Linked DNA regions of Rhinolophus ferrumequinum. The protein of the gene in region 4 interacts with the protein of the main gene of each other region in a pairwise test. Links are inferred from orthologs where the notes say so. Each region holds a gene or a part of one and is shown on either strand. Other genes may lie near its edges. The genes, in order: USP2; ZC2HC1C; LDOC1; keratin, type I cytoskeletal 15.

Region 1 (7,284 bases), on a different chromosome or scaffold from region 4:
GCGACAGTTGATCTGATAACTGAAATGGCTGCTAAGTGACTAACAAGCACATAGCGTATATAACGCGGATACATTGGACAAAGAAACGATTCACATTCGGGGCCGGATGGAGTGGGATGGCACGAGATTTCATCATACCACTCAGAACAGTGGGCAATGTAATACTTATGAATTATTTATTTCTGGAATTTTCCATTTAATATTTTCGGACCACGGTTGACCGTGGGTAACTGAAACCACAGAAAGTGAAACTGCAGATAAAGTGGACTACTGTGTAACAATCACTGTGCTATAAGCTACACTAGCAATAAAGAGGATAAAGGAACACTAGAGGAAAAGGAGAATGAGAAGGAGCTGTCAAGAGGAATACCAGAAAAGCACTGTATTATAAAACCTAAAGGAGGAAAGAACTTTAAAGAGGAAATAGTTGGAGGAGGGCAATTAACTGATTATAACTAAAAAGGCCTCCTGGAGTTAGCAAGTAGGAGATCACAATGACTGGGTAAGAAGAGTTTCCTGATGTCTGAGAGGTAGAAGGTATGAGGATGCTGCACAGACAGGGAGGTGGGGAAACACAGCCTGCACAACTCTTGCAAGAGAACTGTGAAGAGGAAAGAGCAAGAACCGAAGCTATAGATTTTTATTTTGCAAAGAGGAAGAATTTGGAGACTATTATATGTCAAAGGGAATGTCAGTAGAAAATGAAAGTTTTAAAGCTACAAGACTGAACCTGTGACAGACAGTGACTGTGAACATGAGAACAAATGCTGAAGAGAGACAGTTCAATACATGATTTCTAATGGCCCTTGAGGATGCCTGACAACCCTACTATATTTCCACAATCCATTCTCTCTCCCATTTGCCAGCACAGTGGTTCTCAAAGGGCTGTTCCCAGGCCAGCTGTTCCACCATCACTTGGAAACTTGTTAGAAATGCAAGTTCTGAGGCCTACTCCAGATCTCCAGAATCTGAAATTCTGGGTGGGGCCTTAACAGACTCTGTAGGTAATTCTGATACCCAATCAAGTTTGAGAACCACTACCCTAGGTGGCTGGTTTACAACTCCTCCTCTCTCTCTAAATTTCCAACACTTCCTCCTTTATCCTTGATTCACTCTCAGCTAACCTTGCTTCCTAACTCACTGAGAGAAAAGAGACCACCAGGAGAGAATCTCCACTAGCTTCTACCACATCCATTCACCTCCCTGCAAATATTTTGCCTTCTCTCTTCTTCCTTTGGATGAATTCTCTGTGCCCCTAACCAAGCCAGGCCCTCACTCTGTACTAGATCCCATCCCTTCCTACCTCATCAAGGACATTGCTCCAGCTACTCTCCTCTCTCTCCAGCATTATCAAATCTCACTCTCTATTGGCTCCTTCTCATCAGCTATACAAACATATAGCTATTTCTGCCATTTAAGAAATATTTTTGACCTCATTTCTTTTAGCACCCACCCAATCTCTACTTCCTTTACCACAAAACTCTAGAATTCTCTACACAGTACTGTATCAATCCTTCTCCTCCCATTCTATCTGGAACCCACCCACAATCGAGATTTCACTCCCACACACACCAAAACTATTCTTGTCAAAGTCACCAACAACCTTCTAAATCAATTCTCAGACTCTTCTTATTTTACCTACATGCAGCATTTGACAAAATTTCTATTTCTTTCTTCCTTGGTAAGTTTCCTTTTCTTGGTTTCCAGCATATCACCATCTCCTAGATTTGTTTTTTCCCTATGTCACTGGCCATTCCTAAGTTTCTTTGCTGGTTCCTACTCATTTCTAAAGTCATTTAATGTTGAAGAACTCCAGGATTCAGTCCTTGCACATCTTTCTATTTATACTTGCTCCCTTGGTGATCTCTTCTAAGCTCATGGTCTTAAATAACATCCATATGCTGATGACTCTCAATTTTATATCTCTGACCCAGACTTAGCCAAACTTGTACATCCAACCGCTTTCTTGACATCTTGATGTGCCTGATAGACATCTCAAACTTAATATGTATTAAACCAAGCTCGTGACCTCCCACCACCCCAAAACCTGCTCCTTCCACAGCCTACACCTTCTCAACGTTTAGGCGAAAAATCCCTCCCTTTCTCTCACAGTAGACCTTGTTGGCAGGATATTCAAAATACATTCAGAATCCAACCACTACTCACCACCTCTCACTACACTAACCCAAGCCACTATCAGCTCTCATGGATGATTGCAGGAACCTCCTAAATGGTCTCCTGCTTCTTCTCTGCCTCTCTTCAGATCTGTTCTCCATTCAGCAGCTAAAAGGATTCTGTTAAAAAAAAAAAAAAAAAGTCAGATCCATGTCCCTCCTCTGCTCAAAATCAACGGCTCCCATCTCAGAGTAAAAGCCAAACTCATCAAATTGGCCTTAGAGCCAATTTGAAGTCCCTCCCTTTTTTCTTTGACCCCATCTCCACTCTCTCGCTCTCTCTTTAATCCAGCAACACTGACCTGGTTCTTCCACAAAAGTGGCAAATATGCTCCCACCTCAGGACCTTTGCATTTACTGTTCCCTCTGCCTAGAGCATCATCCCCCAAGATATCAAGATGGCTCATTCCTTCACCTCCTTCAGGTCACTGAAATGTCACCTTCTCATTGAGGCCATCTCTGACCATACTTTACACACTCCATATCCCCCTTCCTGATTTATTTGCCTCCATAGCTATTACTGTCATCTAACATACTATATATCCTACTTATTTGATTATTGTCCTTCTGCCTCTACTAGAATGTAAGCCACTTGAAGGCAAGGATTTTGCCTGTTTTGTTCAATGTTGTATCCCCAAAACCTAGAAGAGCACCTGGCTCGTTCAATAGCCATATGTGGAATGTGACCAGATAAGGGCCCTAAGGAAACAAAGGGTTGAGACCCAGAAGGGATTTGTCTTGAACAAGAAGAGACACACCACATTTTACCTTAAGTAGAGGTAAGAATGGATTCATATATGTTTGTAGGCAGAAATTTAAGTATTTGTCTCCTGATTGCCTATAATTTCTCTGCAAAATAGAAAACACGGAAGGACTTAAGGAGAATAGTAATGGACAGAAATAATAGCAGTGGAGAATGGGAGAAGGAGCTAAGCAGGAGCCAAGGCCTGAGCTCTCCTACAGATAGAGTAGAACCACTCCGAAGCAGCTGGACTTTCTCCTGGAGTGGGGGTGGTGCGCGTTGTACTGGCTTTATTTTTCTAGGATTGATGATCCAGGTGAAATTGAAAACCTGGATTTGCCTTGACACCAATCTACCTGGCTGTGTGTTTTTATTCACCTTCATGGGTAAAGGAGGGAAAGTTTACAAATAAAGAATGGGAATGTCAAAAATTCAAGTTCTGTCTCAGCTTTTTCTTAAAAGACCAAAGAGAATCCCTTCCACTGACTCAGTGCCTCCGTTTGTTTACCCACTGAAGAAGTCATCCCGATCGATGGTCTCCTGTTAGTAAAATGAGGAGTGTCTTTAAGAGTAGAGAAAAAGAAGAGGCTAAAGAGTAGGCTTTCTCCCGGCCCCTCCCTAAAAACTGAAAATTGATATATATGCCAGGTGGCTCAAATTCTGGGCCTTCTCCCCACAACTTTCCCAGTACCTTCCAGCTGCCCCCTGGTGTGACATTCCATTCCACTTCTTTTTGTGCTCATCCCCCTCAAAACTCGCAAGCTTTTCCTCCACGTGGTTCTCCATTTATCTTGCCAGGGAGACCCCTATGAGGGCGGGGCTCTAATGACGCCATAATGGGAACAAGCCAATAGCCGTGACGCTTCTCAGTGACGCAAACGTGGGGTGCGGTTTTGCCTGCCCGGGCGCAATGAGGCGGCTGCCCGCTGGGTGGCACCGATTTCCCGGGGAGGTCCTTTCTGGGCCCCCGGCGGAGGTGGAGGAGAGGCCAGCAAGAGCCAAGGCCAGGGAGCCCTCAGCGTCAGCTGCTCACTGCGCCGCGCCAGTACCAGCCGGGACTCACCCGCAGCTCCATGCTTGTGCCCGGCTCGACTCGTCCATCGTGTGAGAAGAAGCAGGTACATGCCACTTGTCGGAGGCTGGGGAGGAAGGATGCAGAGGTCAGTGCCGTTTGAGACTCAGAAAGTGAGGTGTCAACGACAGCCTAGGCAGAATGGCTACTAGAAATGTAGGGCGAGTGCCAGCTACTGGGAGGAGCTCCAGCTGCGGGTGCCAGTTGTGGGGGGGGGGTGTCGCGGGGGGGGGGGGGAACCTGCCAACTGACAGCCCAGGGTGCCAGGAAGAGCCATCTGTGTGCTGGTCAGTGTGTTCTAAGGAAATGCTGCTTCGGCAGGTCCAGGTCTCTGCCGTGAGGTATGTGGCCTGAGAGTGCCTCCTGGACAATGACAGTCCCTTCCTCAGGTGTGCATGCAGTTCACATACTCCCTGGTGGGGAGGGCTGCCGCTGCTCAGTTTGCCAAAGGAGGTGGGGGAGGGAGAGGGCAACAGTTAAGTAGAAAGGGAAGATTTTCCACCAAATCCAAACCAGAAAGAGGCATCTTTGAAAAATCTCAACAATCCCAAACCAGATGCAGGTGCCGTGCTCCAAGGCAAATAACTTTAGCCAAGCCAAGTCATGGCCATCCCATTCTAGCTGTTCTCTGAGGAGAGAACATCGACTTCCCGACCTGGCTGCTTCTAGAATGGGACTAAGTTGGAGACTGTAGTGATGCTCACCTCCCCAAGCAAGGGTATGAGAAGGTTCCCCAAGTTGGACCCTATAAAGTGGAGGAAAGGAAAGCTGGTTAGGCTGGGGCTTGGGGCATCCCCTACTCCTTTGATGCTGTAGATGCATGCCAACCTGGAATCATCATGAGGACTGGAATGAGGGCCGGGGACAAGGGCATCCTCTGAAGTGCATCATCAGGACCCAAGCTGAGTCAGTAGTCTCTGCTGAAACAGGGTGGAGGCACCGCCTGGGGACTCCCAGTCCGCAGAGAGCACCATCGAGAAACAGACTGGGAGCCAACAAGAGCACCAAAGCCCAAGAGGTTAAGAATCCAGCTCCTTCCTCCTATGACCCTGACCAGCCCAGTTCTGTGGCCTTGGAATCCTGAGCACTCCTACAGGTAGAGTGGAGCCACCCCAGAGCAGCTGGGCTTTCTCCTGGTAGCCTGGGAGAAGCCGCATTTGCTATATTTTTCCAGGCAAAGGGGAAAGGAGCCCAAATGGGCTTGGCCCTTCTTGGCTGAGTGGGGTGGACAGCTGGGAATATAGCAAACCTCATTTGCCCTTGCCAGTTATGGGACATGGACAAGCTCAGAAAAGCCTGGGGCTGTTCTCTGTCATTGGAACAGGGCACTCGGAGGGGTAATGCCCCACATCCTCTGAACCAGAGGTTTTCTCTCTGGTTTACTTGGGAGATGCTACTACAAATACTACCACTAAGTATGATAAGTGGAAGTATTCAGTATAATTATCATTTATTGTACTCCTAGTATGCGCGAGGAAATTTACAAATATTATTTTATCTAATACAACTGAGGTGTAGCATTATTATTGACTATTACTCCAGTTTTAAAGATTATATAACTAAGATTCAGACAGCTTAAGTGATTTGCCCACTGTTTCAGAGTCAATAAAAGAGAAAGAACTGGAATACAAGCCCAGGCCTAGAAGTCTATTATAAAAGAGTTTGGACTGAAAACCTGAGAGCTTGTCCCTCCTGCCTCCCACTGTCTGTGCGCCCTTGAGCAAGCTGCTGGCCATCTCAAGGTCTTCTGCATCTCAAAACTGAAGGAACTGGATTAGCACTGTGGCCTCTTCCTCTTCTCTAATTCTGTGACTGACACCTCCTTCTCCATATTTTTGCCTCAATTCCAGCCCCATCCCTCTGCCCTCTTTCCAGTTGTTTCCCCTTGAATCCCTCTTTTGTTCCATGTCAGAATGACCCCCTTCAAAGAGTCCTCTTGGATTTCCTTGCCTGGCATGCTGGCCCATCAGGGCAGACCCTCGAGAGAGGGCCTGTCACTGCCCCTTTAATTCTCCCCGGGTTTGGAATGCAAGTGAGTTGAGCTAGCCATCCCTCTGAGGTCAGATAAGATACTATATATATATCAGAGTCAGTAACCTGAGCTCCAGATTACCCAGCCCAGAGTCAGACTCCAGTCTCCCAGCTCTCTACTGCGCTCCTGGCCCTGCTGGGGAAGGAGAAGCCCCCAGATCCTGTCCATTGCCCCCGGACACAGGTCAGTAGCTGCCCCTTCAGTATCTGAGCTCTGCAGATCCGCTGAACAGATTGTCTACTGGGGGAACATTTAAGAGGTCGCCCCACTGGGCTTGGTGGGTGCTGTGGGCAAGACCAAAGGCTAGAGGCTGACGACAAAGCCACTCTCCCCTGGGGAGGGGACACCAGGAGAGTGCCTGGACAGAGGTGGCTAGAAAAGGGTATTTAAGGATTCCAGTACTGCTTGAGGCTGGGGGGAGGGGCATTTCATTGTCTTTTCTTGGAAGTTTAGGATGCCTACCCCCTCCCAACCCCAAATCAGGAAGTGCCCAATAGGGACACTATCCTAGGCCCACCCACTTTTTTTCCACCAATCAGAATTCTTGTTCTAATCTTTAATCTCTTTATTTTATCTCTTCTGCCCCTCTCCCAGCCCTTGGGCAACTAGTGGGAGTCAAGAGACAGAAATGGACCCAAATTTCCTTGGATGACCCCCTGCCAAGGCATGCAAGACAATCAGGCACTAAACTGGTGGGTTACTGGGTGCCAGCCCCTGAGAGACAGAGCTGCTAGTGACAGGCTGGAGGGGAGGGGACAGGTTGAGGCTCCTGGGGGCCTGAGAGAATTAGACAGAGCTCCTGGATTATGTGAGCACAAATATCCCCGTTCCCCTTCTCCATTCTACCTGCATCCTCCACACCTGCTAGACTATCCCTTGACCCAGGAGTTGACGCATGTGCCCAGACAGTGGGCAACTAAGGGCAACTAAGAGTGAAGGTTGGAGAGTGTAGATGAAGGGAGACAGGGCCCCTCTCTCAGCCCACTTTGTCCTTCAGGTCAGCACATGAGCAGTGCCTTTTATTCCTTCATTGTTAGCAAGTAGCTGTGGGAAACTCTGACATCAGCACTGTGAAGGTTCCCAAGCACCTGGCAGAACTGGCTGGTTCTCCCCACTCACCTGTCCTGAACACCTGGGCAGGAGGGAAGAGACTGAACCCTGTTGAGGTTCAGAGGTTCATGCCTCTGAAACCCACCTAGGGGCTTTCTATTCTACCCAGGCAATGACAAAGACACAGAAGTTGGCATGCCTTTACCCCAGATAA
Region 2 (7,934 bases), on a different chromosome or scaffold from region 4:
TACTTGCGGAAAAACACCCCTTGCACCTTCCCAAAAATTTCATAATCCACCGATATTAGGGTGTCCCCTTCTGCCATACTCATGCTCAAACCTGTCAGAAACCAGAAAAGCAGAAAAGTAAACAGAACTCATTATCCTACGTCAGCAACCCCAATTCTGAGGCAGAAAGGGCCACATCCACACTTCTTAACCACTGCGACCTCTCCCTGACTTAAGCTCCCCGAACTCCAGAGTACGCTAGTGGACACGCGTAAGCGACGGTGTGTGAAGAAGACACCTGGGCAAGTGAGCTTCGGGTCGCGACTGCCCACAGAGGCCTCTTTTGAGACAATTACCTGTTTAGCCAAATACCTCCCCACACCAGTCCTGCTCCCTCTCCATCCCTTCCTCTTCCCACGGACCTGGCTTTCACGCGGCCGCCAGAATCTCCTTCTAGCAACACTTTAGGGCCAATTGAACTGATGGGCACGCCCCGGGTCCCGTCCTACGCTCACCCTCTAAGTCCGGCACAACACCCCGACCACCACCGCAACGGTTCTCCTAGTCGCGTAACCGCCGCGCCCGGAAGCTCAGGGCGCGGGTTCCTCCTTCGCTGTTTCGCATGCCCATCATGTCTGCTGACCAATCAGGGACGGCAGGCTCTGCCCAGAGCCCGCCCAGAGGGTGGGATTTCGAGGCCGGTTGTCTGGGACCTCTCGGGAGCCTAGGGCTGGGGATCTGTCCAGGAACTCTCAACTCGGATTCTACGGACCGAGCCCTCACCCTTCTCAGTCACCAAGAGCACCTCTTTTCTCATTTTTCTCATGGGGAGAAAGATATAGACGATGAAGCACTTGAGATAAATCCAATCATTCAATAAATATTTACTGAGAGCCTTCTGTGTGTTAGGCGCAGTTCTAGGTAGACATACATCAGTGAACAAAAGGATTCTGGCCCAGAGGAGCTTAATTTCTGGAGATGGGAGACGGGCAATAAACATTAAACATTATAAACAAACAAATTGAATAGAATACATGCAACCTTTCTGCACTGACTTTTTCTTTCAGTTCTCAAATTTTAAGTCATGCCTAAGTCTGGAATTAGGAGTAGCGAGGATAAGTGTGTAAGAGGTCCTAGGGGTGGTTATTTCTCTTTCTGTGCTTCTGGAAGCTGCTCATTCCAAATAACGCTTATCTAAATCAATCCCAAGCACAAGCAAAATAACCCATGGCTCCAGAACCACAATTGAATCAATCAATGTAAGCCAAATGACCAAATTGCATAAATTTCTTCTGGGCAAAGGGAATTGTCAAGGGGTGTTGTGCGTGATGATTGTTTAAAGTAGGGTCACCTTGTAGGCATTTGAATACAGCTATCCTTGTGATTAAGAATGTGTATGCAGGAAAACTGTGTTTACTGTTCCCTTTGGATTGCTTGTATACATTACATCCCTTCATAACATAAGACTCCATATGTGAATATGCCACATTGGCAGACTTGGCAAGGTGAGACGGATTTGCAATGGAATCATTCCATTAGTTCCCCACTACAAAGTGAGGCTCTGGATCCTGGAAAATATAACCTTAGTGCTAGCACAGGGGTGGGGGGCAGGGTGGGAAGCTGGATTGGATGTTATGCTTGGCAATATTTGAAAATAATGCTAAACAAAGTAATTGGCTGGTGTTCTTTCTCCAAAATTCATTTTAAAAAAACTAGTTTCTCAATAGAATTAAAGACCTATTGAGTGTCTACTATTTATGGGACACTGTAGGGTATATAAAGATTATTTGAATGATATATAATCTTTGTCCTCAAAGAGTTTTTTATTTAGTGTAAGAAACAAACATGCATGCAAATAAAGACAATACAATGTACAACATGCTAATTCAGTTCCATGAACACCAATCAAGAGCTCCTCATAAGCCAGGCCTGTGGTGTAACCAGAACAGAAAACATCATGAGAGCATAAAGGAACAAAGAGATTAATTTTGACTGGGAAGATGGGGAAGACATTCTTGGAGGAAATATTATCCAAGGTTACACAACCACAACCAGTAAGTGATGGAGCTGGGATTTAATTGCAGGCAGTCTGAGTACAGAGCCCCCTCCCATAAATTCTATGTCTACCACCTCCCAGTATGTGGAGCTTGGGGTAAGGTAGTACTGCTGAGGTAAGAAAGTGCAATTAGTCAGGGGTGGCTAGATCAGGGGTTTTCAACCCTGGCTGCACATTAGGATCTGGAGGGAAGCTTTTAAAAATGCTGATACCCATCCCAAAAATAGGTATTGCACAAATGATCATCACAGCATTGCTCACAATGGTAAAAAAAAAAAATGCTGATATACAGATGATACCCCCAGAAATTGCCTTCCAGGTAGTGCTAAAGCACGGACAGCATGCACAACACGCGCAGCCAAGGTTGAGATTCACTGGGCTAGACTCTGGGGGGGGCAGGGCTGGAAAGGTAGGTTGGACCTAATCCGGTAGGTGGAAATACCATGTCAGATTACATGTTTCAACTTTATTCTATAGGTAAAGTAGAAGCCACTGGGTAGGACAATAATATTACTATGTAGGTAATTATTCTGGCAGCAGCATGAAGGATGGGCTTGGGATGCAGATGTTGAAGGGAAGAATAGCAGTTAGGTGAGTGATGCATGCCGTCCCAATGAGAAGTGAGCAAGAACTCACTTAGGGTCGTAGAAATGTAAAGGAGGGGTCATATATAAGAGACACTGCAGAATAAATTCAACAGAGCCTGCTGACCAGTTAGAGGGGAGTGTGACAAAGAGGGAGATGTAGAAGGTGACTGATGCTTTTAGTTTGAGAGGGAACACTGAAGAAGAAGTGGATTGGGGGAGTGGGGAGGTGATCATGAGTCTGTTTTCTGTTACATTGAGTCTGAGGTTCCTGAGGAACGAAATCGACAGTTGGAGATCTGAGTCTGTAACCAAGGAGAGAGAGCTAAGCCAGATGCCATTTAAACATAGAAGACACCTGAAATTTCAGTATTTGGTTGAAACCATATGCAGTCTGGAACTGCATGTATATGAGAAATAAGAGGGCTCTGGAGAACACCTAAATTTGGGGGACAGGTGAGGAAAAGACATAGCCCTGTAGAAGACGGAGCAAGAACACAAAAAAAGAAGCCAAGAAGGCACAGGATCAAGTGAGAACAGAGTTCCAAGGAAGTAAAAAGTCAGTAATGTTAAATGAATAGGCTGAAGAAGTAGCAGCTTTTGTCTTTGGTCATTGGAAAGTCACTGGTAGCCTGGCAGTTAAACAAAGTGGAAAGGGTAGAAGCCACACCACAATGGACTGAACAATGAAGAGGAGACGAGGAAGGGGCGCCAGCAAATGTAAAATTTCTACTAAGAAGTCTTGAGGAGCAGAGGAGAAATAAATGGGGTCCTAGGGGAAGGGGCCACAGGTCACGGGAAATGAGGTTCGTTTTGCAGGAGAAGTTAAGCATATTTTAAAACCAAAGTATATGGATTGATACAACTTGACGTTAACAAGATGGAGGGGTAAAGTCATGGAGTCCATTCCTAGAGGATGCTGAAAGGGACTCATTCAATAGAACACATGGAAAGAGAAAGATTCTTTTTCCTCAAAAAACAAGAAGGAAGTCAAGATGGAAGTCAGCACTCCAGGAAATTCGGCCAGACTAGAGGGGAGCTGTGGAAGTTGACAGGCAGGCGGGTTGCTGAGATAACTGGACTCTTGAGAAGAGTGGGAAATGTCTGGAACTCCATATAGGAGTCCTATAAAGAAGGCAAATAGGGAGTCAACCAGGAAAGAAAACAAGGGGGGAAAAGAAAAGCCCTGGAGGGCCCAACAAGGAATTACTTTGTAATATGTAAAAGCTGTAATGATATGTTGAAGTATTAACAGTGACTACTACTGTCTATATTATCGTCCATGTGCATGAATCTTTTACGTAGTTATAAGGAAAAAGTCAGTTGCCTGTTCCAAACAGCTTACACAAATGAACTGAAGCATGAAGGCAAATAAACTCTTCTGATGTTAACAGGTCACAGAGTATCACTTACTGTTGAAGCCAGGCTATACTGCTTATTTTCGATCTAGTAGTTAACTTTATTATCATTACATGTGGTTGAGTCATTCTTGGGCTCTATGAAGAGACGGCCAGAGTTACCACGTGAGAGTAAGACACCGTATCAAAATAATTACACTGGCTACAAAACTATCCCAGAAAGATACTGCGTAGCAAAACCTAGCCAAGTTGCTATAATTTCACCGCCAGCTCCAAACTATTGGTGAGGGAAAGCACGGAGAGACAGTGTAGCCATACCTGGGGCGCGCACGAAGCAGCCGAGCGTGCTAAGCAAGACTATCAGCAGGCTCACTACCGCTACGGGGGCGGACATCGGAATCCTGCGGCTGAACGACTCCAGGGCACATCTAGGGGCGCCGTCTTTTGCCCGAGAAGGGCACACCACGGGGTCTGGGGTCATCGCTCTCAGAAAAATACTAGTTCTTTGATGGAGCCCCAGAAAAACCTCTCCCGTCCCCTCCCTTGTTCCCCAAGGGCTGGGCTGGACGAAGCTGTAGAGTTGGCCGGACACCGGGTCAAGTGACACCCCGGCGCACCTCACCTCCCTCCGGGGCGGCTCCCTACCGCTCGCGGGACTGCGCCTGTGCGTGCTTTCCCCGCGGCGACAGAGGCGAGAGGCGGGGCTGGGAGCGCACGCGACCCCGTTCCTAGGCAACGGGAATAACAGGGGCCAGCTGAGAGCGCCTGCGCGGCGGTCGGTTGGTAGGGTTCTGGTCCGGAAAACTAAGTCTTGGGGTTGCCCCTGAGCAGGAGTTGTCCTGGAGAGCCTCAGGTAGGCGAGAGGACGGGGAGACGTGGGGTCAGCACCTCGACCTCCCAAAGGCCCGATAGACAGAAAAGCGAGGGCTTGTCCCCAAAGCAGAGTCCCCAGTGGGGCGCCCCGCCTGATCCTCCAGAACGGAACGTGACTTCCGCGTTCCGGATCTAAAACCCACGGCGGCCAAGTCAGGGGGCCCCCGCTTCTCAGTTACAAACCCCTGGCCTTCTGAGCCGCGGGGACTCGTTGGGTGAGGGTTTGATAGCCAGGCCCCTGCTGCAGGCCCTGGGCAGCGTCTGTGCTCCTTGGAGTCAAGCATGGTTCCAGCAGGAGGGAAGCCCTGGCACTTACCTCTAGGCCGCAGTTTTCTCACCTGTAAAAGGATGGGGCTGGACTTGGAATCCTGAGGTCCCTAAATTCCAGTCATGTAACTCTGAGGGAACCACTCAGTTTCTTTTCTTCGGATTTCCTCCTCTAAACTTTCTCCAGCAGCTTCTAGTCTTTGGATCTGTGTCCATTCAGTCCCATGGCGGTTTGGCATGGCCCTCTTCTCCTGCGTGGCAGCAACAGTACCACGCAGGAGTACTGAAGAAACTGGAGCCAGAAGGGGAAGTTGCTCGTCTTGTGTCACAGGCCTACAACCTGACTTCAAATCCAATAGCTCTTTCCACCGAGTATGGCCTATACTCTGTGTGGCAGGCGCAGCACTGTATGGCAGAGGCTGGTACTGGTATAAAGGAAAGCTAGGTGGCAGGAACACCTATATCACATTCATTTTTCTATCCTCAGGACCTAACATGCACTCCCAGGACATAATCAGCACTCACCAAATGCTTATTGAATGAGAGCTCTGGCAGACCCAGTACCACTGTCCCTAGAAAGTTTAAAGGAAAATGTGGGTAGGACAAATGTATGATAGAAACAGTTGAGTTAAGCAACCAGGGTGAACCTCAGACAAACTTCTCACATATATCTGGTTTAATCTCTCCTAGGCTTCAGTCCAGGCCCTGAATGGCTGGTCTCCAGTTGGCTCCACCTCTGCCTGTGGGCGTTATGCTCCCATATAATAAGGCAGATGCCCCAGGGAACCATTCCGCTAAGCAAGACCACTATGAAAAAGATGGCTCTTCCCAGCGCTCCTCGATGGGGCACCTGAGGAACAATTCCCAGCAGAAGCTTTTGAGCAACAATGAGCTGGCGCTGGATAATCTGTACACTCACTCCAAATGGAACGCCTGCACCAAAGCCCAGAGCTACTACCATCCCCACTGTGCTGGAATCAGCCAGCAGGATCCCAGAAACAATCTCTGGGGCCAAGCAAAGGGTTTGTTTCACTCATCAAGCTCTCAATCCCAGTACCCCAAAGCACATAACCAGGAATTCATCCCCTTTACAAAGAAACGAATTGGAGTGGACCGGGCATACCCACTGAAACCCGTATTCCATCGGAAGTCTTGTAGTACACGTGAGACTGGCACTGATGGGGACCAGAATGTCTCTCCCAGACCCCCTGAGCCAAGAGAGTTTTCATACAGCAGCTTGGGTTCAAGGAACTGGGTGAGTTCATCTGTGGTTGGTACTGTTGCTGCCACGCAGGAGAAGAGGGCCATGCCAAACCGCCATGGGACTGAATGGACACAGATCCAAAGACTAGAAGCTGCTGGAGAAAGTTTAGAGGAGGAAATCCGAAGAAAAGAGAGCCTCCTAAGGGAAAAGCTGAAGAAGACAGAGGAGGAACTCAGAAGGATCCATAAAGAAAAGGAACAGGCTGAGGAAAAGGCAAAAAGAGAGCCACAGAGAATGACATTTCCCAGGAGGAGAAGTAAAGGTAATAGCAACACTGTGTACAAACCTATCTTCTCCCCAGAAAACAGGTCTAAGGAGGTCTTCGGTCGAGACAGGCAAGAGGATGAAACTTGGGGACGGTCTCAAGAAAATTCTAGTCCATTCCATTTTTCTGATTATGGAATACAGAAGCTCAGAAGGGAAAGACTAATGGCAAGCAATAACAAAATCCGAGCCTACGTCTCGGGGCCGTTGAAGCAGAACTTTTCTCAGCCCTCAGAAGCGCCGGGCAGTGCTTTGCCAGGATCCACACGCCATTCTAGCTTGTCTAAGGCACCAGACTCTTCAGGTTCCAGCTGTTCCACTCAAGAGCCAGAACTTGGCAAGTGCAGCCACTGTGGACGCAAGTTTCTCTTGCTCAGGCTGGAGAGACACTCCAACGTCTGCAGCAGGATACATGGTTCCAAGAGGAAAGTGTTTGACTCCTCTAGGGCCCGGGCCAAGGGCACAGAACTAGAGCAGTACTTGAACTGGAAGGGACCAGCCTCAGTCAAGGTAACAGGGCCTTATGGATTTGACTTTGAGTGGGGATCATTGTAAGGACCTGTTATATACCAGGGGTACCAAAAAAGATGTATATACACGACTTGTATTCATCTTTTGTTATCGGTATCTATTGAGTATTATGATTTTAATACAGTTTTCTCCTTTCTAAAAAAATGTGTATACATTTTTTGGGCACCCTCTGTATATCATCAGATTTTTGTAAAGAAAAAATGTGTCATGTAGGGAGAAAGTGGGAATTAACATTTATTGATTACTACTGTGTGCCAGTCACTGTGACCGGAGCTTTTCATGTGACCCTCGCCATAACCAAGTGAGGATTTCATTATCTCTTATCAATTAAAAAAATCTAGTCTCAGAGAGGTTAACTTGGTTGAGATCACAAACAGCTTTAAATAACAGAGTCAGCATCTAAATCTGAGTCAGAATGACTCCAAAATCTAGACTTAAAAAATATATATCCATTTGATTCTAAAAGTAATACACATTTACTATAGAAAATTTAAAGACATGAAAAATATATTAAAAAAAAAAAAGCTATTCAGCACTTCACCATCTTGAGTGAATTCCGTGCTCTTTGTTCTCTGCCACCTCCCAAGATTAGGATTTATTACCACTCCTATAACCATATCTACTTTTCCAAAGTTAGCTCAATTTTGATATACCTTCTAAATAAATACATGAAACACAATTAAGTTTGGAATTCTTCCCCCAATTTGGAGTGTAAACACCTTAAAGGTAAAGGATTTTATTTTTGATTAACATTCCTA
Region 3 (6,508 bases), on a different chromosome or scaffold from region 4:
AACCCCCTAACATTTCAATGACTTACCCTGGGATAAGGATTTCTCAGCGCCCTCCCTACTCCCTCAATACCTCTGAGCCCCTCAGGCCCACAAACAGATCTCAGCATAACTCACAAGGTCCAGTTGAGGAGATAGCCAGGCATCTTGCCAATTTCTTAGGCAGGAATCTGGGGCACATGAATGGGTGAGGATTCTAAGGGTGTCTGCCCAAGGAGAATAAAATGTTAAGATCAGGCTCTATTTAGCAAGGTGCACTTACTCAGGATCCAGAATGTAATGTTAGCTCAAGCACCTGAAAGGGGCATGATAATACTGTGCTCCATTGTTAATTAAAGCCTGAATTCCACAGCACCCCACAGGCAGTAAGGATTAAGGGGCCGAATTTCCCTGGCAGGGTTGAGGAAAGAATCCAAAGGCTCAGGAAGATAGGAACATTGTATGTGTCCAGATTCATGCCTGGTGTCCCAGCCTAATTATTAATAGTGCCCCCTTTCACTCCCAAGTGTCCCAGTTAGAGATGGTGTGCTACCCGCTTGGCCACCCTTACCCCATGCCACCCTGGAGGCCCCAGAGGACACTCCCTTCACCAGGGCTTTAAGAAATGCCTTAGTAGGGGGAGCACCAGAATCCCTATAAAGCCCTATGGTAGCTGTCCTCTGTAGCCTAGAGATGACAGTGGGGAATTCTGGGATTGAACTAAGTTACCTGATCTCAGTGGGAATACTGGGAGGCCGAGTGAAAGTGGTAGGGGCCAGTGATAGCACTTAACCATTAAAAGACACTCCTTTTGTTTTTTTCGTAGTGCTTGATATTTATTGAAAAGAACGCAAGTGCTTTTTCCAGGTAGTATTGAGAAGCTTGGCTGAGTGCCTGTTTTTCTTTTGAGACTGCTGCAATTTTTAAAGAAAATGACAGCTGTGCAAAAGTAGTGCATAGGAGAAAAGAAATGTCAACAATTTGGCTGCCAGGCACACTAGGCCCCTGCAGCAATCTGGTGGTGTAGGGGAGGACTCTGGAAATAGGTAGGGAACTAACCAGGTCGAAAGACTGGCCCCTTCGGGGGTTGTGAGCTGTCCAAATAAATGTCCAAGGAGCTGTAGCCAACTCAGGCATCCTGTAGGTTGGTCCTTATCTCCAAAGGCGGTGGTCAGTCGCAAGAACGTGGTGGATGGTGGTGTCGTGGCAGCGTAGTTCTCTGGGCAGATGTTGGCCTGGCAGTTGGCAGGGCAGTGCATAATCTGACCAGTTGGTAACAGGGACCTGCCTTAGCGCTGGGGCTCAGGACACAGTCCACATTTGCAGGGGTGCTTCCCAGGGCTGGCCAGAGTGGGTGGCAGCGCGCTTCAGAGCAAACCCCCAGCCCCAGCACGTAATTGGAGCACAATTTCTGGAACAAAGACAAGCACTCCGGGGGATGAGGGAGAGGACCAGAGGTTGGGGGAGGGAAGAAGATCGGAGGATTAGGGGGAGTACGGTGGCTCCGGGAGGGGCAGGAAGGAGGGGAGGGAGGTGGCGGCGTGCAGAGCCCTTCCCCCTTAGGCCCGAGGGTCTCCAGGCCTAGTAATCATCTTCTTCTTCGTCATCATCGTCGTCTTCTTCGTCGTCATCCCAGCCAAAACACTGTTTCATCTCCTCGAGGAAGGCCCTGTAATCACTTAGGAGGGGGCTATCCATCTCAATGTAGGGCACCACCCACTCCTCGGCTTCCCCGGTGAGCAGGCTGATTAGGAACGCCACCTTCATAGCGTCGTTGCAGAACCGGTTCTCGTTGACAAGCATGTAAGACGCCGTCTGCACGATAAACTCGGGGAGCCGGGAGCTCTCGCCGTTAAACGTTTCGGGGAAGGGCACCGGGCAGCTCGGCGGACGTACCTGGCGCAGCAGGGTGGCCCTCTCGCACACCAGCAGCCGCAGCTGTTCCATGAGCTGGCTGTTCTCGATGCTCAGGGCGCGGTGCCGCACCAGGAGCGCGTGCAGCAGCAGCACCAGCTCGTCCACCATGGCGAACCGCTTGGAAAGGCACGGCTGGGCTCGGCTGGGTTCGGCTCGCCTAAGGTGCGCAGGGAGGCCTCGCAGGAAGTGCGTGTCCGCGGAGGCGCGGGTGGCCAGGGGTGGAGAGCCGTGCACGCAGGGGTCCCGGCGGCTGCGCAAGACCCGCCCACAAAGCCGCGGGCGCGGCCCCCGCGCCAGCGCGGCCCAGGGAGGAGGGGGGGCGTGTCCAGAGAAGACACTGGCGCTGCGTGGGGGCGGGGTCAGAGGGGGTGGGCAGGGCCGCGGCGACGTGACCACGGAGGGCGTGGCCAGGGGAGGGGCGGGCAGGTTCCCGGGGCCCAGGGCTGGTAGGTCTGACGGCGGGCGGATAAAGGCAGGGTATGTGGGACAGGCATTAGCCAGGACACAGCGAGCCCTAAGACCCGTCTCTCACAGAGGGCCAACCTGCTCAAGTTTAAAGGGTTAACCACCCTTCATCCCAGCTGAGTCACCCAATTCAATGTTCCTTACTGGGCCTGTGGCCATTAGATTCCATTTGTATGATGTTTATTAACACATTTTCTTGCTTATTTAAACTTCATCCATCCAGACAGCTATTAGCACTGCTGGCCGCAACGCGGGAGTCACACATTCTTTCCGAGTAATGAAAGACCCTCAGGAGTCCTGTCTTTCAGACAAAATATTATTTAAACAGGGATTGTTCTTTAGTTGGGAAATAATATTGTGTATCTGTCGTTTTTCATTATTATTTTTCTAAATAGCGAAGTATAAAAAGTTCTGCAAAATTATCCGACAAACATATGCAGGCATCCTGCTATCTTTGACTATTTCACTTCATAATATTAGTGTCCCTTGGCCACTGGGTATTATTCTTTGCTTAACAATGAAGACTTGTGTTTTTAAATGGTTTTGTTTTTCTACTTTGAATGTGATTACTCCAATAGTTGTTGACAACTGAGTTGTGTCCAAGACCTTAGAGCCAACTTTGTCTGTGGGCTCTGCTTTTAAAAGAGATCCCCAATTCAATCACTTCGTGTCACTTCTACCGCTACCACCCTGATCCCAGCCTTCCTTTCTCACCTGGATTGCTGCAACTAATCTCTTAGCTTTCACTCTTCTCTTCCTCCAGTGTATGTATTCTCCACAGTGTAGGTACAGGAATTCTTTAGAACAAAAGTTTTCCCTGTGCAAAACCCTCCAACGGTTTTTTCTTCTCACTCAAAAGAAGAAGCAAAATCTGGGTCATAGCAGTCAAGGCCCTGCATCACCCTCTGTGCCTTTTCCCATTCCCTGCTCTGTTCTAATCATATTGTCCCCCTTACTGATTTTCATACGCATCAAGTAGCTCTGGCCTCAGGATCTTTGCACTTCCTATCATTTCTGCCTTGCAAAGGCTCTCCCCTGTTAGCTGCCTGACTCCACCTCCTAATGTTTTTGGAGAGGACTCTCCTGACCACCTCATCTAGCACCCTGCTCTCTACCAGTAATCTCTAACCCCTCACCATGCTTCATTTCTTTACATGGCATTTATCAGACTAGCGATACCGTGCTAAGGACCGGCTGCCTGCCGCTTGAAAAAGTTAAACATGGAGAGACAAGGTTGGTGAAAAGAAAAGCAGGTTTATTCAGAATGCCAGCATTCTGGGATGATGGCGGACTCCTGTCCAAAGTCCATCTCCTCGCTCCTAGACCGGTCAGAAGGTTTTATAGGAACACGAGAAGAACAAAGGAAAGGCCGGGTGGGTCAATCAGGTCCCAGGACTGTCCTCAGTTCATGGGGTCTGGTCTGTTTTAAGATAATGTTATCTCCGGACTTGGCCACCATGGCCTGGGGCTTTATGTGTCACCAGTAAAAACTGCAAGGGAGTTGCAAAACGGATTCCAGTGTCCAGGCGCCTGAGGATTAAGAAATCGCTCTTTTCAGGTTAGGATTCTGTTGAGTAAATGGATTAATGAGGTATGGGTAGCCTTGAGAAAGGGAACAAAACAGAGTTTTTAAGTCAGTCAGTGAGCGGAGAAACAGAGAAAACAGCTGAATGTCAGGATGGACCTAACTGCAAACTAGCTAAGTGTAACTACATTATTGATTCACTGAATTTCACCCTTTCATTAGCAGCCATCATGTCATATATTACTTTGTTCGTCAGTCTGCCTCCACTTTAGAATGTAAGTCTATGTGGACAATTTGCTTTGTTAGCTGCTGTATTCCTAATGCCTGGAAAAATGCTTGGCCCAGAGTAGAAGCTCCATAAATGTGTGGTGAATGAAAGAATCCCAGGGTGCAGATAATGTTGAAATAAGATTTAGAAGGGGTGGCTGCATAGTGTCCAAAAATACTCTTCAAACTGTCTGGTATGTTCTATCTATGATCAAGAATCAGTCTCCATTGTGAAATGATGACTGACATAATAAAAATGGCTAAGTAATTTTTTGAAAAACCCTCTTCAGTCCTTTCACAATCAAATTTAATTGAATGGGCATTCATGGAAATAAGAGGCTGAGAGAAAGGAGAGAAACAGGGCCAAGGTCCAATAAGGAGAGGAGGAAGGATCAGGCTGCTGATTCGGTGGGCGGGGAAAAGAGCAGGTGGGAAGGAATATGAGCCCTTGGGCTCGCCTGTCATATGAGTTCCTCCACTATATGAGAAGCCCCTGGAGGCCAAGCAGGGACCCTCTCTCACTCATCCTTTGACCTTCAGCATCTGAAAGTGTTTATTGGGTGCTCCATAAATGTTCAGTGGATGAAATACAGGCACAGGAAATGTCAGTGGTAGGTTTCTGGCCATGCTGTCCATTCACAGCTCAGGGTGGAAGGTGGACCTGCTTTGGGCAGCAGTGAGTATCCAGCTCCACTTTCCATGTCCAGACCCTACTACAGGAAAAGATGCCCAGAGTTCTACTCTCAGGAACACACTTCCTGTTGTCCACACGGTTCTAGCGATTGACTTGGGCTGCCTCTTTGATCCCGCAGCGTTATTCACAATAGACATATATGGAAACAATCAAAGTGTCCACCAACAAATGAATGGATAAAGATATACATATATATGTATATACATATAAAATGTTTGCAGAATCCTAATATACATAGTTTTGCTAACACATATATGTGTCAAACCTTACATGTCAGGAGACACAGAGATACCGTGTTTCCCCAAAAATAAGACCTAGCCGGACAATCAGTTCTAATGCGTCCTTTGGAGCAAAAATTAATATAAGACCGGGTCTTAATATAACATAAGACCGGGTCTAATATAATATTATAATATTCTGTTCAGTTTCTCAGATGAAGTAGGAGACGGATGGTGCCAAATATACTCACAGTCCCAGAGATATGGAACTGGGAAATCAGATTTCTATAACTGAATGATGATTTTCATGAACTAATGTCTTATTATTAATTTGTATTCATGTATATGTTTTTATATTACTATAAAATAGAATTTATTGCCTATAGTATATTATACTACTATTATACAAATTGTTGTTCTCATTCCTAGTTATTTCAATATAATTCGTCACTTTGAACATACAAGAGCTTATGCACTTGGTTTGTTTCTGGTATTTTCATATGTTTTAGAAAGTATCTGGCATCATGTTAAATCTGTTGTTAGAGATATTAAGAGCGGCCTGTCATAATTTGTGTTTACTTGTTTGGTTTTAAATGTAGACTAGGCCTGTCTTTCAAATGGGCCATTTACTTTGATCTACATTAAAGTTTTTAGGAGGCAGAATGAGTGTGGAGAATTGAAGATAACCACAGATTCTTTGCCACTTAGTCCATTAAGAGGTAGAAACAATGTTCCCTGCCTGTTTAATCTGGGCTGGCTCTGTGACTTGATTTGACAAATAAAGGATGATGGAAGTAACTTATAACTTATGAAGCAAGGCCTTAAAGATCTGAAGAGTCTGTGTTTGCCACTTGGAATATTCCCTACTCAGAGCCAGCCACCAGATAAGAAGTCTAATTGCCCCGAGACCGCCATGCTGTGAAGAAGCTCAAGTTAGCCACATGGATAAAGAGAGGTCATGTGGAGGAAGAGCGAAGCAGCAAACAAACATGAGAATGAAGGGCCTCCTTGGACTTTCCAGGCCAGCAGAATCACTGCCTGAATGAAGCTGACTAAATGACTCCAGCTGACTACATAGAGAGGCAAAAAAACATCTGGCTAAGCCCTACACGAATTCCAAATCAACAGAATCATGAGCAAATAAAATGGCACAAAATTTTGGGATCATTTGTTTCATGACAGTAGAGAACTGAAACATGAAGACACTCATGATATGCTACAGATAAAAGCATAGTCCCACATCGAAAGATCTGATATGATGTGATGAATCCATGGTCCTGTTCTGTTTCTTAGCCTCTGTATTTGTCTATTTGGTGTCTATTAATTACAGGGCCAAATTAATGGCCAAAGTGGTTTAAATCTCCCCTGTGATCCACAGCCCTTAGTCTGAAAACATGTTCTTTATCTAATTCTCACATATCCAGTCAATACTTCCCCTGCCCTAAA
Region 4 (8,325 bases):
CTCACCCAGTTCTCTTTCAGTGCACCAGTACTGGGCCCTAAGATTCTCTCCACCCCAACCACAAAGGAATGGGCCCCTCCCTCATTCCTCCCTCTGCACCCTGCACCTGCCTGGCGTCTTGGCCCTCCAGCAGGCTGCGGTAAGTAGCGATCTCCTGCTCCAGCCGCGTCTTGATGTCCAGCAGGATTTTGTACTCCTGGTTCTGAGACTCCATCTCGCAGCGAAGCTCACTCAGCTGGGCCTCGAGGCCACTGATGAGCCCCTGGATCTGTGCCAGCTGCGTGGCATAGCGGCACTCCGTCTCCGCCAGGGAGCTCTCCAGCCCAGCTTTCTGGTGTGGCAACAGATAAATAGACACCACGTCAGGCTAGAAGGAAGCCACCGGGGGCAGGGGGAGAGGCGTTGAATGGACGCAGGGAACTCCCTCTTTGGGGGCTTGGGAACACCAAGGTTTAACCAGCCACAAAGGGTGGGAGAGACTGGGGTGGGGTGGGGTGGGGTGCGGTGGGGTGGGGTGGCCATACCATGCTGAGCTGGGACTGCAGCTCGATCTCCAGCCCCTGCAAGGTGCGTCTCAGGTCTGTGATCTCCGTCTTGCTGGTCTGGATCATCTCTGTGTTGGAGGCCACCTCCTTGTTCAGCTCCTCTGTCTACAGGTCACACACAAAGAAGTGAGCCCATGGGCCTCCTGGGAGACCTGGGGAGCTGGGGCAGGCTGGGACGTCAGGCTCACCTTGCTGAAGAACCAGGCCTCGGCGTCGCGGCGGTTCTTCTCCGCCATGGCCTCGTACTGTTCCCTCATCTCCGCCAGCACACGGGTCAGGTCCACACCTGGGGCTGCGTCCATCTCCACATTGACCTGACCGGCCACCTGGCTACCAAACTCCCTCATCTCCTGCAGGATGCGTGGGGCCCATTTAGAGATGGAGGGCAGAAGAGAGGGTGGAGAATCTGGGTCCCCCCACGCCAATCCTGGCTGCGTCCCTAACTCACTAGGTGACCTTGGCTCTCCCCATACCCACCCAGCCTCCATTTCCCACTGTTCAGGAAGAGGTTTGATTGCATGGGCCCCTCAGCTCTGAGGGTCTCTCTTCCTCTCTAGGTGCTTCCAAGGGAGGACGTCAAAACAGTAAAGGCCCTGCATGAGCTCATGAAGCAAATCAGGACAGCAGTTCCCACTGGTCACCTGGCCTGGCTAAGGACCAGAGAAGGAAAGGAGTCTGGGTCACCAGAGAACAGTGCCCCCTCCTCTCCAGGGAGACCCCTGTTTTGGTATGTGTGTGGGGGGTGCATTTCTGAACCTCTAAGCCCTTCAGCCAACTATGAGGAGGCACTAGAGGCCCCACTCTGCTCCCACCACCCCCACCTCCTCGTGGTTCTTCTTCAGGTAGGCCAGCTCCTCATTCAGGCTCTCGATCTGCATCTCCAGGTCAGCCTTGGCCAGGGTCAGCTCGTCCAGCACCCTGCGCAGGCCGTTGATGTCGGCCTCCACGCTCTGGCGCAGAGCCAGCTCATTCTCATACCTGGGAAGAGAAAGGGAACCCAAAGTAAGGAAGGGTGAGGGGTCTGGGCTGCTTGAGTTGGGGGAGGGAGAGAGGTCAAAAAAAGGGGGCAACACAGAAAGGCAGAGGGAGCCAGGAGCGCACTTGAGTCTGAAGTCGTCCGCAGCCAGCCTGGCGTTGTCAATCTCCAGGATGACCCGGGAGTTATCAATGGTGGCCGCCAGGATCTGCAGGAGACAGGGAGTTGGTGCCAAGAAAACCCCTCCCTCTTCCCTGCTGCTGTCCCCACCCTGCACCCCAGGCTGGCTCCCCACCAACAACCTCTCCTCTGCTACCACCACCAAGAGCCTGTAGGGTTCCCGGGCAGAGTCCAGCTTTATCTCAGGTGTCCACTACTTCGTCTGCCCCTGTCTCCAGGGCATGAAAGACCAAGGAGCCAGAATTGCCTGGCACCCCCTGTAGGAATTAAATGTCTAGGAGTGGGGTGGGGGCTCTGACAACAGCCCCCTGGGGGATACTCCACCAGCTTCGCCTTGGACAGCTCGGGGTTGCTGGCCTCCTGTGCACCTTGACACAGCCAGAGACCTACAGAACATTCCAGCCAGTGAGAACCTGGAGTACAGCTAATGAAGGCATCTTACAGCTGAGGAAACTGGTCCAGGGGAGTGACAGAGTGAGTGGGTGGCAGAGCCCATAATGATTTTCAGGCCTCCTAAGTCCCAGTAGTGCTTTTGGCACCAAAGACATCCTCAGAGGGTGAGGCAGGAGGCCCTGGCACTCAGGGTTCCTGAAGCTACACTCATCATTCTCGCAAAAGAAGCAAAGGGACACTTATGCAGAGCCCAGTTGCTGTCTGATTGCTCCCATCTGGGCCCCCGCTGGTCCTGACCAGATTCCCAGGATCTGCCCTGCACTGCCAGGTTGAGCAGATGTCTGCCAACATCCACACCTGGAATGTATTCCCCACATTCCAAGTTTGCCAAGGTTACACACAGCAATCATTGCCTGGGCAGGAAAGGCTTTCCTCGAGGCAGCAGGAACACTGATCTTAGAGATGAGAGCAGGGCCCCTGCCCCCTCTCTTTGATCCCCGAGGACTCACCTTGTCCCGGAGCTCCTCGATGGTCTTGTAGTAGTGGCTGTAGTCGCGCTCCGGGCTGGCCGGGCTCTGCCTCTGGTACCAGTCACGGATCTTCACCTCCAGGTCGGTGTTGGCCTCCTCCAGGGCGCGCACCTTGTCCAGATAGGAGGCCAGGCGGTCGTTGAGGTTCTGCATGGTGATCTTCTCGTTGCCAGAGAGGAGGCCACCCTCGCCACCACCGAAGTCACCAAAGCCACCTCCAAAGCCTCCACTGAAACCACTACCAGCCCCTCCGCCAAAGCCACAGCTTATGCCACCCCCATAGCCCCCTCCCGACCCAGAGGAAACAAACCTGGCAGAAGAAGCTGACATACTCCGGCTTCCACCTCCCCCAAAGAAATTCCCCCCACCAAAGCCACCTCCCCCAGCCCAGAGGGAACCCCCCCGGGTAGAGCTACCCCCAAAGGGGGAGGAAGAAGTCTGCAGAAATGCAGTGCTCATGGCCAGGCAGCAGTCGGTGAGTTCTCGGCAAGGACAAGCGACGCTGGCAAGAGGTGCAGGCTACCCTGAAACCAGAGCACTGCGCCTGTCACCCCCCAGACTGGGGCTTCTTATATACCCCTTGGAGGGTGTTGTAGGTTCGCGTCTCCTCCCCCAAACGGAGGCCAACTCCTGCATTCCTGACAAACACAGTTGCCTGCACACCTCTGTGTGGCTGGTGTGGAGTTTTTCTTTTCTTCCTTTTTTTTTTTTTTTTTAATGCAACAAAAGAGATGATTCACAATGAATGGTGGTTTGCCCCGGGCCATGGTTTTAACGCTTGCATTTCAGGTTCATCTCTGCACCTCAGGAGAACAGGCACGGAGCAAAGTCCCATCACACCACAGCACTGTTAGAGCAGCTCAGGCCAGCTCTGCCCTCAGGTGGACTTCTCTGCTGCTGACAGCCGGGACCCTCACCCCTAGGCAGCCAGCTACCTGCTCCCAGTTCCCATCCTGCTCTGTGTTGGCCCCCTCACAGATCCTGTGTGTGCCTACAAGGCTGGGGAACGGGGGAGAAAATGGCCTCTGGGGATCAGTGGGTAGAGGCACCTGGAAGGATGCTGGGCCCAGGGGGACAGGCTGAGGACAGGGACCCGGGTCTCGAGTCAAGTTCCAGCGAAAGTGACCAGAGGGCCAGCATCTATCACTTCCCTAACGGTACAAAGGGACTTTCCTCCTCTACCCCTCTCCTCCCCCAATCCACCCTCACCCCAGCCCCCACTGCACTGGCACTCTCACAAAAGCCAGCAGGCTTGGGGCTGACAAGGGGCTGATTGATAATCCCACCACCTGCCAACATGTCACTGAAACTTTGCTTGCTCCTAGGACACGTTGGGGCAAACCTCTGCAGATAAAACTGGGGCAAGTTTCAGGAATCCCCTGCCTTCTCCGGGGAGAGACATGTCCCTGCACACCAGGGCCAGGTTAACCCTGTTTGTCCTGTGAAGCTGCAAGGCTGGGGAAGGACCCTACACGGAGGGCTCTGTGTGCCGGAGCTGGGGGAGGGAGGAGATAGGGAGGCCTGACAAGCAGACGGGGGAGACCTTCGTGGCAGAAGCACCACTTCACAGAGCAGGATGCTGAGGCCAGAGAGAGGAGCCCTTTGCTCTGACACCAGCTCAGGGCTCAGCTTTCCAGGGATACCTGACACCTGTGGGGAGTGCCACTTGGAGGCATGACCTTAGCTCCTGGGCTTAGGGAGAACAGGGGTTGGGGAAGTGAGCTAGACTGAGCTGGAGAGTCAGGAGGATCCCTGGCCCAGGGCTGCAGCACAGTGCGGTGGACAGGGCTCTGAGGTCCCTCAGACAAAAGTCCATACCCTGCCTCTATCCATTACCGCCTGTGAAATCTTAGACAGGTTATCTTTAAGTCTCAGTTTCCCTGTGACAAGTGGTACTTTCAGTCCCACTTATAGAGAAGCCCTGACGCCCGAGAGCCTCCCTCCTGCCTGCTCCTGGCTCCGCATCTTCTGAATGGTTAGATAGTGGGGTACAGGCCCATCATCTGGGACTCACGAATACCCTCACCAGGAGGGACTTTTGTCCTTAGACATCAGATCATGTCCTATGCGCAGCTTCGCTCTTCCGTGCTCTTCCATAGCCAGTGCCTGTGGGGCAATGCAGGCCACTGTCATTATTGCTGTTGTCACAGTAATCCCGCACGTGTACTGCACACATCACAGTTTACCACATGCTTTGTATCCAACGCCTCCTCTAATCCTCGGTTCACAGATGATCCCTGATCCTGTTTCAGAAGGAATGAAATTGGGGCTCAGAGAGGGGAAGCGATGTGTGCAAGGTGGCGCAGCTAGCAAGGGGCATCACCAGGACTCAAATGGGTCCTCTGAACCCTCCCACCACCATTCAACCAGGAGACAGGAAAAGAGGGTCCCTCCCACAGATTCCTGCATCTGAGTTGGGGTGGTGGGAGGGGGACCGCAGGCCTGAGTGGGTGGGCGTGGGCTCCTCCTCACCCAGCTTTGCAGTGAGCTGGGCCTCCAAGCGCTGGTCCCAGACAGTGCGGTATTGTCTCATAGGTGGGAGGATATTGTCTTCCTCCAAAAGAAAAATAATCAAAGTCAGATCAGCCATAGCTCATTAAAGCTTTTGCAGACATTATGGCCCCAGCAATTAACAGGGGAAAAATTACGTACCATCACCCCGGGGCGAGGGAGGGCTGGACCCGAGCCAGCCCCTGTTGTGCACCCTGACTCCCCTCCAGCAGCCCCTCAGGGTGGCTTTCCCTCCACTTCCAGGCCCAAAGGGCGGCAGCTGCTTCAGTTGCAAATGCCTGGTTCAGTCCCAACAGCTCCTGTGAGCTCAAGGTCTAGGTGGGGCTCTGGGGCCTGCATATCAGCACCAGGTGGGGATGACTGGCCAGCGCTGAGATTAGCCTCTGTTTGGCCCCGGCCCCAGCTGCATCTCTGGGCCCTGCCCCAAGCAGCCTGCCCAGGAGGCTGGGCCAGTTTCAGAACTTTGTCCACTACAGACAGACAGGCTGTCCCTAGAGCCAGCCTTTCCTCCTTGGGATCAGGTGATGCAGCCCGGTGGAAAGAGCCTGGGCTGGACTCCACCTCTGGGTGTGACTCAGCCTCTCTGAGCCGGGTTCCTGACTTAAATTTGGGCCATTTTTCCACTTATGTGAGGTACTCAGAGTAGTCAAAATCATGAAGACAGAAAGTGTAATGGCGGTTGCCAGGGGCTGGGGGGGAGGGGAGAATGGGAAGTTATTGTTTAACAGGTATAGCACTTCAGTTTTACAGGACCAGGAGGAAAGGTTTATGAGGATGGATGGTGGTGACGATTGCACAATGTCAATGCATTTAATACCACTGACCTGGACGCTTAGAAGTGGTTAAGATGGTAAAATGTACGTTATGTGTATTTTACCACAATAAAAAAAAAAAAGAAAGAGTTGGGCTTTTACACGTTCCCCAGCTACAAGGCCACAGTGAGCATTTGATGGCACATCGGAGAGGGAGCTCCATAAATGTTAGAATCCACACTCACCACCACTGCCCCAGGGAGATGCTAGAGACAGAGCGCATGACCTGGGGCCTAGAGACCTACCTTCAAATTCCCCCTTTCTCATTTATTGGATATGTGGCTTTGGGTAATTGCTCTCTCTGAGCCTCAGTCTACCAATCCAGAAAATGGAAATAATCCCTGCCCAGTCTTACTCAGGGTTGGAGCAATATGGCTAACAGGAAATGCTTTTTGCAAACTTAAGTGGTCATCTGACCAGCAGGGGTGGAAAGACCTCGCCCCTCTCAAATCCATCCCCCCCCTCCTTTTCCTCTGTCAAAGTTGCATCAGTCAAGAGTAGCCCTAGTTTCAGCTCCCAGACTGTCCCCGCCCTTGCCCTCCTCATCCACCCGGCACACACACAAAGGACAACTTCATTCCTGACACCCAGACCTGTGACCCAGTCACCTGCTGCACCGGTGTGGGCCCAGACCCCACCCCCCCAGCCACATTCCAAGGGCCTCTGGGGCATGGGGGAGGGTTTCAGCTGTGACAACAGAGGCTTTCATGAACACAGGACAAATATCTCTGGGCAGTCCCAGTCTGGGGGTGCAGCCAGGTTTCAGGCCTGTAGTTCCAAGGCCTCACGAAAATTGGGAGGGAGACTAGGGGTGCTGGAGAACAGTACAGGAGAACAGCTGGGGTGGTGGCAGAAGAGGCTCTTGGCCCAGGGCTACAGCAGGTGAGAAGGGGAAGACTGGGGCTCTGGGGTCACCAGTCATGATTTGGAGCAAGATAATGAACCTCTCCAGGGCTGAGCAGGGGGAAAATGGAGGAAAGAGCACCTCCTCAGGAATACTAAGAGGAATGACAGTGTCACAGGCCTCCTTAGCTCGGTCCTGAGAGCAGCGACAAACATTCCATTCCCCTCTAGACCTTCTGGAGGCGGATGGGGCCGTGTTCCTCTCTTGCCTGACCCTCTCCCTCACAGTCTGCCTGATGTCACAGATCCCTGGGGCCTGAACAGATCCACTCAGCCTGAACCGCTCAGCCAGGATGAAGTAGGACTTATTTACCTTTAATTGGCCTCAGTTCTTGGCAGCTAAGTCATAAACCACAGGGGCAGGACCATACCCACCCAAGGGCAGAGTTGTACCAGGAAGCTAGGACTTGCTTCCTTAGCTGGCAGGAGACCGGCCCCAGGCAAGCCAGGTTGAGGGGTGTGCGGGAGGTCTGGGTCACACCTGGGTCCTATTCCAGGCTCTGGGCCCAAGTATGGGCTGGTGGGCATAAGGGATTTATGTGGAATGGATGAATGTGTTAGTACCTGCATGTTAGTGCCTGCACACTCTCCAGCCTTGCTTTGAGCAGGATGCCTGCCTCCTTTACTCAGGCTCTGACCCCAGAGCCCCCGTTTCTCCTTCTGTCAAGTGGAGAAATGTGTCAGGGGATCCCAGTCCTAGGCCTTCACATGGAGCAAGACTAAAAGGTACTGAGCACAGTGGTGTCAATCCTAGGAGATGGGGTGCAGGATTGGCACTGTGGGTTAAAAATCAGGAAAGCTAGATTCTGGTCCTGACTCTGCCATGTAGTTGCTGTGTGGCCTTGGACAATTACTTAACCTCTCTGAGCCTATTTCCTACTCTTGTACTTAACTATCTGTTAGGTTGTTTTGATTAAATGGCACATAATAGATACTCTGTAAACGTTAATTTCATACAAACAAACGCCAACCTTTGCAGGAATACAGTGGAAAGAAAACTAATCTGAAAGCAAAAACCAGTTTCAAATCCCACCTCTACCATATTAGAACAGTTATATATACAACAAACCACTTCACCTCTCCGAGCTTTAGTTTACTCCATGTAAATGGGAGCAATGCTTATTTCATAAACTTGTTTTAAGGAACAGTTTAGATAAATGAAGGCTTCTGCAAGGAGGAATTACCGTAACAATCAGTTTGTGGGTACCATCCCTTCACTTTCCTAGGACAGGGTGGACTCTTGTCCAAATAAAACCTAAACAGGGCCAAGGCCTGGCCCATTTCCATGGGCTGAAATAACAAACTCGATATCCTTCGTGCCTTGGGCCATTACGTTTTATTGGCAGGTTAGGGGAAGAGCCAGAAGTAAGGGTCCCTCCCCTCTCATGCCCCAACCCACGGACAACCCTCTGCTGAACGGCAGGAAGCCCAGGAGGCTGCTGGATTCAGGCGGTCTTGGTGGTAGGCAGGTTGTT

Evidence for each region.
Region 1: the proteins of keratin, type I cytoskeletal 15 (region 4) and USP2 interact in binary tests that used the Homo sapiens proteins (3 or more experiments, as listed by UniProt). The two-hybrid records come from large-scale screens. The link is inferred for Rhinolophus ferrumequinum from reciprocal best matches to the Homo sapiens genes KRT15 and USP2.
Region 2: the proteins of keratin, type I cytoskeletal 15 (region 4) and ZC2HC1C interact in binary tests that used the Homo sapiens proteins (3 or more experiments, as listed by UniProt). The two-hybrid records come from large-scale screens. The link is inferred for Rhinolophus ferrumequinum from reciprocal best matches to the Homo sapiens genes KRT15 and ZC2HC1C.
Region 3: the proteins of keratin, type I cytoskeletal 15 (region 4) and LDOC1 interact in a two-hybrid assay, tested with the Homo sapiens proteins (2 studies listed by BioGRID and IntAct). The two-hybrid records come from large-scale screens. The link is inferred for Rhinolophus ferrumequinum from reciprocal best matches to the Homo sapiens genes KRT15 and LDOC1.

What each region holds. Positions count from the first base shown.
Region 1 is NC_046294.1:88,611,143-88,618,426, reverse strand, and holds the start of USP2 (ubiquitin carboxyl-terminal hydrolase 2), read left to right. Parts: upstream 1-3,859; 5' UTR 3,860-4,034; exon of another isoform or gene 4,035-4,076; intron 4,077-6,107; exon of another isoform or gene 6,108-6,203; intron 6,204-7,284. UniProt on the Homo sapiens protein: Hydrolase that deubiquitinates polyubiquitinated target proteins such as MDM2, MDM4 and CCND1. Isoform 1 and isoform 4 possess both ubiquitin-specific peptidase and isopeptidase activities.
Region 2 is NC_046289.1:23,538,278-23,546,211, reverse strand, and holds the start of ZC2HC1C (zinc finger C2HC domain-containing protein 1C), read left to right. Parts: upstream 1-4,716; 5' UTR 4,717-4,830; intron 4,831-5,807; 5' UTR 5,808-5,826; coding exon 5,827-7,155; intron 7,156-7,934. Other genes in the region: DNA mismatch repair protein Mlh3, read right to left, coding at 1-91, 4,296-4,458.
Region 3 is NC_046284.1:15,202,568-15,209,075, forward strand, and holds LDOC1 (protein LDOC1), read right to left. Parts: upstream 2,201-6,508; 5' UTR 2,002-2,200; coding exon 1,558-2,001; 3' UTR 768-1,557; downstream 1-767. UniProt on the Homo sapiens protein: May have an important role in the development and/or progression of some cancers.
Region 4 is NC_046304.1:37,551,340-37,559,664, forward strand, and holds the start of keratin, type I cytoskeletal 15, read right to left. Parts: upstream 3,147-8,325; 5' UTR 3,084-3,146; coding exon 2,604-3,083; intron 1,730-2,603; coding exon 1,647-1,729; intron 1,524-1,646; coding exon 1,367-1,523; intron 896-1,366; coding exon 734-895; intron 651-733; coding exon 525-650; intron 332-524; coding exon 111-331; intron 1-110. Other genes in the region: KRT19 (keratin, type I cytoskeletal 19), read right to left, coding at 8,296-8,325.